Linked DNA regions of Daphnia pulex. The protein of the gene in region 1 interacts with the protein of each later gene in a pairwise test. Links are inferred from orthologs where the notes say so. Each region holds a gene or a part of one and is shown on either strand. Other genes may lie near its edges. The genes, in order: vacuolar protein sorting-associated protein 51 homolog and exocyst complex component 7-like.

Evidence for each region.
Region 2: the proteins of vacuolar protein sorting-associated protein 51 homolog (region 1) and exocyst complex component 7-like interact in a two-hybrid assay, tested with the Drosophila melanogaster proteins (2 studies listed by BioGRID). The link is inferred for Daphnia pulex from reciprocal best matches to the Drosophila melanogaster genes Vps51 and Exo70.

What each region holds. Positions count from the first base shown.
Region 1 is NC_060021.1:636,475-640,402, reverse strand, and holds the start of vacuolar protein sorting-associated protein 51 homolog, read left to right. Parts: upstream 1-1,256; 5' UTR 1,257-1,453; intron 1,454-2,146; 5' UTR 2,147-2,209; coding exon 2,210-2,377; intron 2,378-2,450; coding exon 2,451-2,687; intron 2,688-2,751; coding exon 2,752-2,871; intron 2,872-2,934; coding exon 2,935-3,075; intron 3,076-3,176; coding exon 3,177-3,448; intron 3,449-3,520; coding exon 3,521-3,570; intron 3,571-3,637; coding exon 3,638-3,928. Other genes in the region: cap-specific mRNA (nucleoside-2'-O-)-methyltransferase 1-like, read right to left, coding at 1-31, 90-245, 310-620, 775-808. UniProt on the Drosophila melanogaster protein: May act as a component of the GARP complex that is involved in retrograde transport from early and late endosomes to the trans-Golgi network (TGN).
Region 2 is NC_060020.1:3,980,480-3,984,407, reverse strand, and holds the start of exocyst complex component 7-like, read left to right. Parts: upstream 1-1,382; 5' UTR 1,383-1,484; coding exon 1,485-1,514; intron 1,515-1,650; exon of another isoform or gene 1,651-1,673; intron 1,674-1,729; coding exon 1,730-1,895; intron 1,896-1,991; coding exon 1,992-2,185; intron 2,186-2,249; coding exon 2,250-2,367; intron 2,368-2,428; coding exon 2,429-2,526; intron 2,527-2,595; coding exon 2,596-2,736; intron 2,737-2,801; coding exon 2,802-2,964; intron 2,965-3,027; coding exon 3,028-3,215; intron 3,216-3,277; coding exon 3,278-3,457; intron 3,458-3,522; coding exon 3,523-3,766; intron 3,767-3,837; coding exon 3,838-3,928. Other genes in the region: palmitoyl-protein thioesterase 1-like, read right to left, coding at 1-119, 189-316, 375-484, 550-646. UniProt on the Drosophila melanogaster protein: Required for exocytosis. Thought to function in intracellular vesicle targeting and docking before SNARE complex formation.

The DNA.
Region 1 (3,928 bases):
GCCATGAAATCTCTTCTTCCACTACAACAGTCTAGAAGACAACAGAATGAATGAATGAAATAATCAAGATAAATGTAGACATTAACAACCTCTCTACTTGAGTCCCATTCAACATCTTCAGCTTCCAATCCTTTTATCTGCAAACCCAATCCTCTTCTTCCGCGTTGTTTAGAGACTTCGATGGGCTGTGTCATACCTTGGGATTTCTTACCAAGTCCAGTTCCTTTAGCCCAACCCATTTTAGCCTTTAAGTAGTTCAGAAATCTATTAGCAGCCACATAGTATGCACTGTAAGAATATTAAACTGACCATCATTGCTGTGGCTTTATGATTTATGACTGGAGCAGCAGCAGATTTAGGTTTGATGAGTGTTTTATGTACAGAAGGCATGATAGGCTGATCATCATCACTAGAATCAGAATCTTGACTACTGGATGGTGCATTAAACCCATATCCTCCATCAGCATTACTTTTGGATGGGCTAACAATGACAGTGCTACGTTCACATGTTTCAATGTCATTTAGTTTCTTTCTTGAGTTAACTTCTCCTGTATTATTATAATACTGTGTGTTTGGTTTTTTCAAAGGAGGTCTGTAACTATCATCATCTGAACTGGAATCTGTAGAAATTTTGCAGGAAATTACTTATATTATATATATATAACCCATTAGTTGCAAAACGGGTTCCACCAATTTATTCAAGCTAGGTTAATTATTGCTGAAGATAAACCAACTTTTTTCTATAAAAAAATTTAAACAGCGTCTCATACTAACCACTCAGTGATGTTATTTTTCCTTGCGAAGCCATTGTTTAGCGTTTTGTAGTTGTGTAGACTATTTGATGACTGACGTCGTTCCTAATAATATAACGTTTCCAAATTTTTAAGTTAATTCAAAAGCCAAAAGCTTCCAAAAGTTGATTTCCATGATTTATATATGACTCACCAGAATTAAACGTACGCATTGACATGTGGCTATAGAAGTCAAAATGCAAGCATCTTGAAAATACACAAAAAAAAATGTCTGACGAATGATTTAATAAAACGATCGAATGACCGAACGGAAGAAAGTAAACACCGCTCGTTCTTGCTCACGCTAGCATAATCTGATATCTGTAGCGATGTCTGCTACAGTCTGGGTCTTTCATTTTTATTGGCTGATATGAAAATATTTTGAGTTTAGTATCAGTACATAGAGGGCAGCAGATAAGGTGGGGTCAGCTGTTAGTGTGGTGGTATTATTGTGTAATGTAATGAGCTAATCAGCCAGCAGCTCTCTGCAGACTGCATATCCAAAACCTAAAGCAAGCCGGCCTGTCATAATTTCTTACCTGTTATTTTTATGCCTTGGGTTGGCGGTTTGAGACTTGAAGCGTTAAGACATTCTGACATCAGCTCGCGAAACGTCAAAAACTTACATTAACGCTATCCAATCCCCAACCATTCGATTTGCAGTTACAACCACAGACTAAGAGGGTAAAGACTACGATCAGGGATAGGGCTAAAGAGGGATGCTTGAAGCGATGCTCGTCCTATGCCGTATGGTGGCGCGTCGAGCACACAAAACGAAAGCCATTATTTTTCCTCTTTCCCTACTGATTAGAGTCTTCACACACCGTAAGTTTATAATTAAACCATTAACATATCAATAGTGATGTTTTGTGTAAATATAGCTTAGATATCTCCCATGTTGTGGGAATTTTTTTAAATTTCTATGTGATGTCTAGATACAATCTATAAATTCCTTTATTAAACCCCCTTTTTGCCCATTTTCAGGCCCAGGAAACAGCGTTTCACGATTTTCAGGCCCATTTCAGAAAATCTTGAAACGCTGTTTCCTGGGCCTGAAAATGGGCAAAAAGGGGGTTTAATAAAGGAATTTATGGATTGTATCTAGACATCACATAGAAATTTAAAAAAATTCCCACAACATGGGAGATATCTAAGCTATATTTACACAAAACATCACTATTGATATGTTAATGGTTCAATTATAAACTTACGGTGTGTGAAGACTCTAATCAGTAGGGAAAGAGGAAAAATAATGGCTTTCGTTTTGTGTGCTCGACGCGCCACCATACGGCATAGGACGAGCATCGCTTCAAGGGGTTTATAGCCGTTCGTGGTCTTTACCCTCTTAGTCTGTGGTTACAACTAAAGAAATGTATGTGCGGTATGTGTAATCACTAATCAGTTGGTGAACAGTGCCAATGAAAAACGTCAAAATGAGTAAAGAACTAAATGAAAACGATAAAAGAAAAAGAAACAATCTTCTTTCTCAATACTATGGGATAACAGAAGAAAAGGATGTAGAAAACCTTTTTGACGTGGATGGAAAGCACTTTAATGCTGATGCCTATGTTGACAAACTGGTTCAGGTAATCATATTCTATTTCTTATTTTGCCAAATAATAAAATAAAACTTTTATGTGCTTGGATGTTTTTCAATAGGAAACCAGCTTAAAGCAACTTATAGATAAAGAACAGGAACTTGTTCGTGAAATTCAATCACTTGATTCAGAAATGCAAACTTTGGTTTATGAAAATTATAATAAATTTATCCTTGCCACTGATACCATCCGCCAAATGAAAAGTGATTTCAAAACTATGGAAGATGAAATGGAGAAGTTAGTTCAAGACATGTCTCATATTGCAACATTTGCCAACAATATATCTTCAAATTTACAGGTTGGTGAAATATTTGAGTTTAGAGTTGATTAAATTTTTAATAATAATGACCCTGTCTTTTTAGGATCGGCGCCAACAAATAACAAAGCTTTCAAACATTCACGAACTGCTAAAAAATTTGCAATTTTTGTTTGATCTTCCCAACAAGCTGAAAACATGTGTAGAAGAAAAGAATTATTCATTGGTTTGTTTCATTGACATTATCTGTCTATATTTCCTGTATTAAACTATAATGTTTCTTGTTTAGGCTGTTAAGTATTATGCAAAATCTGAGCAAGTTCTTCAAGATTTTGGAGATCATCCTTCTTTTAGTGGAATCCAATCAGATTGCAAAGAAATTGTTGAAACACTCAGGAAATGCCTAAAGGTGCAATTCAGCAGAGCTGAGGTAAGCTGTAAAAAAAATATTATGTTGGAAAGTAAGATAATAAGAAACTAACCAAAATGTCTATTGTGGAATTTTACATGACATGTTCATGGAATTCATAGGTAACTTCCCAGGAACTAGAAGAATCTGCATCTCTTTTATGCAAACTAGGTGAATCTTCCACTGACCTTGCAAGAGAATTTCTTGAAATCAATAAAGTGAGGTTAGAAAAAGATTTGGAAGATCTATCCTCATATGTGTGGTCTGGTGAAAATAATGGAGAAGTGGTCCTCATATTCATTGAAAAATGCTGCAATACAGCATTGAATAACGTTGCTCTTACCATTGCAACCTTCAACAACATTTTCCCTTCAACCATATCGAAACATAATGAGTATGTTTTACTTTTTATTGATTTTATGGTTTAAATTTTTTGCGTTTTCATCATAATACGTTGAATTAACAGGGGGATGAATAGCATGGCCACGGATGTTATTAATCAACTTTGCCCAATAGGTAAGGAGCTATATATTTCACCCTAGAAATTAGCTCATGTCATAAAATTTCCTTTTCGTCCCTGTAGTGGAAAGTAAAATTGTCGAAATCATCGGATTCGAGATAAGTGAAGCCTGCTGTTTGTCAGTAGTTGCGGCTTTGGATAAATTTCATCGTCGTCTATTGGCCGTTCAGCGACTATTACTGGTGGATAAGCAATGGAGCTTCACTCTCATTACTGAAATTGCTCGAATAATTTCACATCGAACAGCCGACGCTCTTGTTATCAAATGGACAAGTGAACTACAAGGCTGGCGTGATTCCTGGAATAACGATAATCAGCCACACGGTTCGGTCAAATTTATTGAAGGGGCTCTCG
Region 2 (3,928 bases), on another chromosome or scaffold:
CACAAAATTTGACATCATCTCCTAGACAACGGGGTAACCCATATACACCTTGGTGTTGAGAGCCTAAAGTGACTAGATTTACCATCGGAGGATCAGGGCAACGTTGAGCTACAGCTCTCCTATAATAAGCAGAAAATTAAAATGATTCAAAGATAATCTTAACTATTCAACAATAAAGATATAATTACAAGAACTGCCCCCCTTGAGATACCCCTAATCCATGATATCCTAATGCTAATTTAGGGTCATTTTTGATCAGATCACACACAAATTCAACTTGATCGTTTGCATTCTTGATGTATGCATTTTCAAAATCCTACATAATATTGGAATTGTTGGTGTAAATTTTTAATTGAGCTATACTGAATTAATACCTCACGAATGGTCTTGCCAATCTTCAGCGAAATTACATAGACCTCAGGAATTTGTTGTTGTATAAATTTTTGTAGGCCCCCAATACTCAATGGATTGCAGCAAACATCACCTACATACCCATTTCAAAATTTATCATGAAATTGTGAATGAAGTAGAAACCTTAAATGTGATTACCTAATCCGTGCCAGATCACAATTGGTAGTATTGATAAAACCATTTGACAATTTATTAATAAGAGGAAAACACACATTAAGGGAAGTGTGTACTTCATTCTTGATTCTTTACCCAAGGAGGACTACTCATACACTTACGGGGTCAAGCTAATAAGTTGGCTTGGAATTTAGACAAAGCAGTTACGTAATTGAATTACAACCATGCACGAGTTTCTCACGTTGACATTTGACATTGACATTTGTGTATTTGACATTTCTTGGTGCTGGGCTGGCTTCAAAATTTATTCTTTTTTCAAGGTTAGTGTTGACTATTTTCAACAGGTGGCCAGGTTGGTTCATAATCGATCTCAATAGAGGGCTATTCAAGCGATCTTAAAAAAAAAGAATGTTGCAGGAAAAACAACAAAATCGTAAAAAGGTTATTAAAATAATTTAAAGTCGCTTCAAAAAAACGTAGAACTGCGGGTCATCGAAAGGGTGACGGCAAAATAGTTCACGAGTCACCACCGTTTTGGAGTTTTCCCATTTTTCTACGACACAACTTCCGTGAAAACAAGAACCCATTTAGAACTTAGTAAAATCAGATTTCCATTTTACCTCAGATTACCTTTTACCAAAACAAACTGGTATATCTGAGCGCTTTTTTTCTTTATGAGCCGTATTTCGTCATTAGCCACATTTTAGTGGGGCTCGGATTGCTCCCATGTGCTTGCGATTATAATGGACTCAACGTTGAATATTTTCTTCCATAATAGACGGCGACGTCTTTTTTAGATTTTTTTCTTTGTCCAACTTCAACTTGACGCACCAATCGAGGAATTTACTTTTTTTTGTTAATTACCTATTTACCTACCGTCTACCCTACCGAAATAAAAGACCGTTTTTTTCTAGCCGGTAGATGGCGAGAAACGAAACAACTGACAGAAATTCAGCAAAATGTCAGATTTTAATCATAAACATGAAAAGGTTACTTTTTTGTTTTATATAGGCCTACTTAGTTCTTCTTTATATCATTTGATTTTATTTGTTTTAAATACTAATTTTAAAGGTTTGAATATTAAACTCAATTTCTTGTTACAAAATTCAAATTTCTTTGCTGTGACTGGATACTCACATATATGACTGGTTATATTGACATATTGTATCAAACAAATAATGGGTTTAATTAATGATTGGTAAAGGTGCTGACAGGACTAGTCTTTCTTCAAGATGCTGCTTCTAGAAGTTCTCAGCTTACTAATGGAATGGTCAATATTTTGACTTCATTTGATGAAAGGCTTGCGAGACTTGAAAAGACCATTTTACCAGTCTACAATGAGACAAAAAATTTGCAACAGAAACAAGAAAGTAAATTATTAATGAGATCTCATATAATATCAATATTTCTTGTATTTCTAAATTTACAAAATCTAAATTTCTTTTTAACTTTCTTCGTGTTTATAGACATTGATAAAACATTAGCCTCTTTGGATCATGTCATTAGCTATTACAGTGTCAGCAAGGAAGTTGAGCCTGTCATAAAAGAGAGCCCTTCAAGTCAGGGTCTAGAAATTTTTCTCCAATCCCTCGGTCGATTGCAAGAAGCTATGCATTTCTTTGAGAGAAATAATCCACAGAGTGTGGAGTTAGAAAATGTTGTAAGTTTCATTTTTATTTACAATCACCATACCTTACAAACTTAAAAAACAACTTTTGTATTAGATGAGCCTATTTGAAACTGGCAAAGATAATATTATCAGCGAATTTAAAGAACACCTAGCAAAACATAGTCAAACCATTCCTGCTACAGCACTTTTGGAAGCTCTAGCAAATGATGAAGGTGAACCCCATTTATCTATAACTACCTGAAAATTCAATGTAATGTTCCATTTTCATTCCAGAGGAGATAAGTATAAATCACTTCTCTGCAGATGTGAAAGACAATTTGATGCAAATAGCTGATTGGCTTGTAACTCACAATGAAGATGACTTCATGAATGTAACTTGTAATCATCAATCATTAATCCACGACATATTAAATAAACTTTGTCACTGATTTACTTTCCAGGTTTACGCTCGGTTTCGCGCAAATACTGTGCAGAAAACCCTTCTTGGCCTTCGTGATCATTTGAGAAGTTCATCTACTGGGGTATCGAGTCACCAAGGCGTGAGTCCCGTAGCTGCCATGTCGGGAACGGCTACATTGCTGGTAATCTAATATTTATTGTGACTACTATTAGGCAATATATAATGAACTTCTTTTATAATTTTCAGGCAAAATCAGGTGTCAAAGCCAGTTATGACACTCCAAGTAGAAAGACATCTAAGAAACTACAGCAAATGCTTGAGCGCAAGGCCAACCAAATGCTTTTGAAAGCTTCTCAAACGTTGGAAAGCTCTACAGGACTGGCTTTGGGCCCCAGGAGAAGCGCTGCGGGTGAGAAGACGAAATTAAATTTATTTTACTTTTTCCCAATTATCATTATTGTTTCTTCTTCAGACAGTATAAAAGAAGATGCTGTCGAAGAACACGAAATCGAATCGTTCTTAACCGAATTCACGGCACTTTTGCGACTACTGCAGAGTGAACTGAGACTTATGTTGGGTATTGTCCCTTTGCCGCATCAAAAAGCTGTTCTGTCTATCATTCTCAGAGACGCATTGGAAATGATCTGTCACGATGCCGAGGTTGGAAATATTCTTGATTCAATTTCATCGGTTAGTCATTCTTGTACTTTACTAATTTTTAGAGCTTAAGCGGCCGAGCGCGCCGAAGTGTTTCTCGTCAAGAGTTCGGTCCCGTTTTGCTTCTTTTTCCTGCCTTACGCCATTTAGTGTGTTTTAAAGGCGACTGTGATAAATTGCTGGAAGGATGCGATTCTTCTGTTCGCACACGATTTTACGCAATGGTTAATAATCTCCATACAACCGTAAGCTAATAACTCACCATAATTTAGATTCGTTTTTATCACTGTGTTATTTTGTGATTGATTAGTGCGGCAAGGCCCTTGAAGACTTTGCAGAATCTGTGCGTTCTGAATCTGCAGCTCCATTGCCTAGAGATGGCACGGTCTATGAAATGACGAGCAATGTCGTTCTTTTTCTCGGCCAGTTGACTGATTTGTCTGACACAGTCGGTCCGCTTCTCGCCCAAGATCAAAGTTATTCCAACGCATTGGTACACACTCAACCCTGGCCGAAACCTCAGAGAAACAAAGCTTTACTAGGACTTTATATCAGTAATTCATTTTTCTTGTTCAGGTTTAACTTAAAATCTGGTTTGATTAACAAATTACCCTTTTTTTTTTAGAAAAAGTGTTGGTTCAACTAAATTTAACTTTAGTTACTAAAAGCGATGCGTACAGCGATTCTTCTTTGCGCTATATTTTTCGATTAAATAA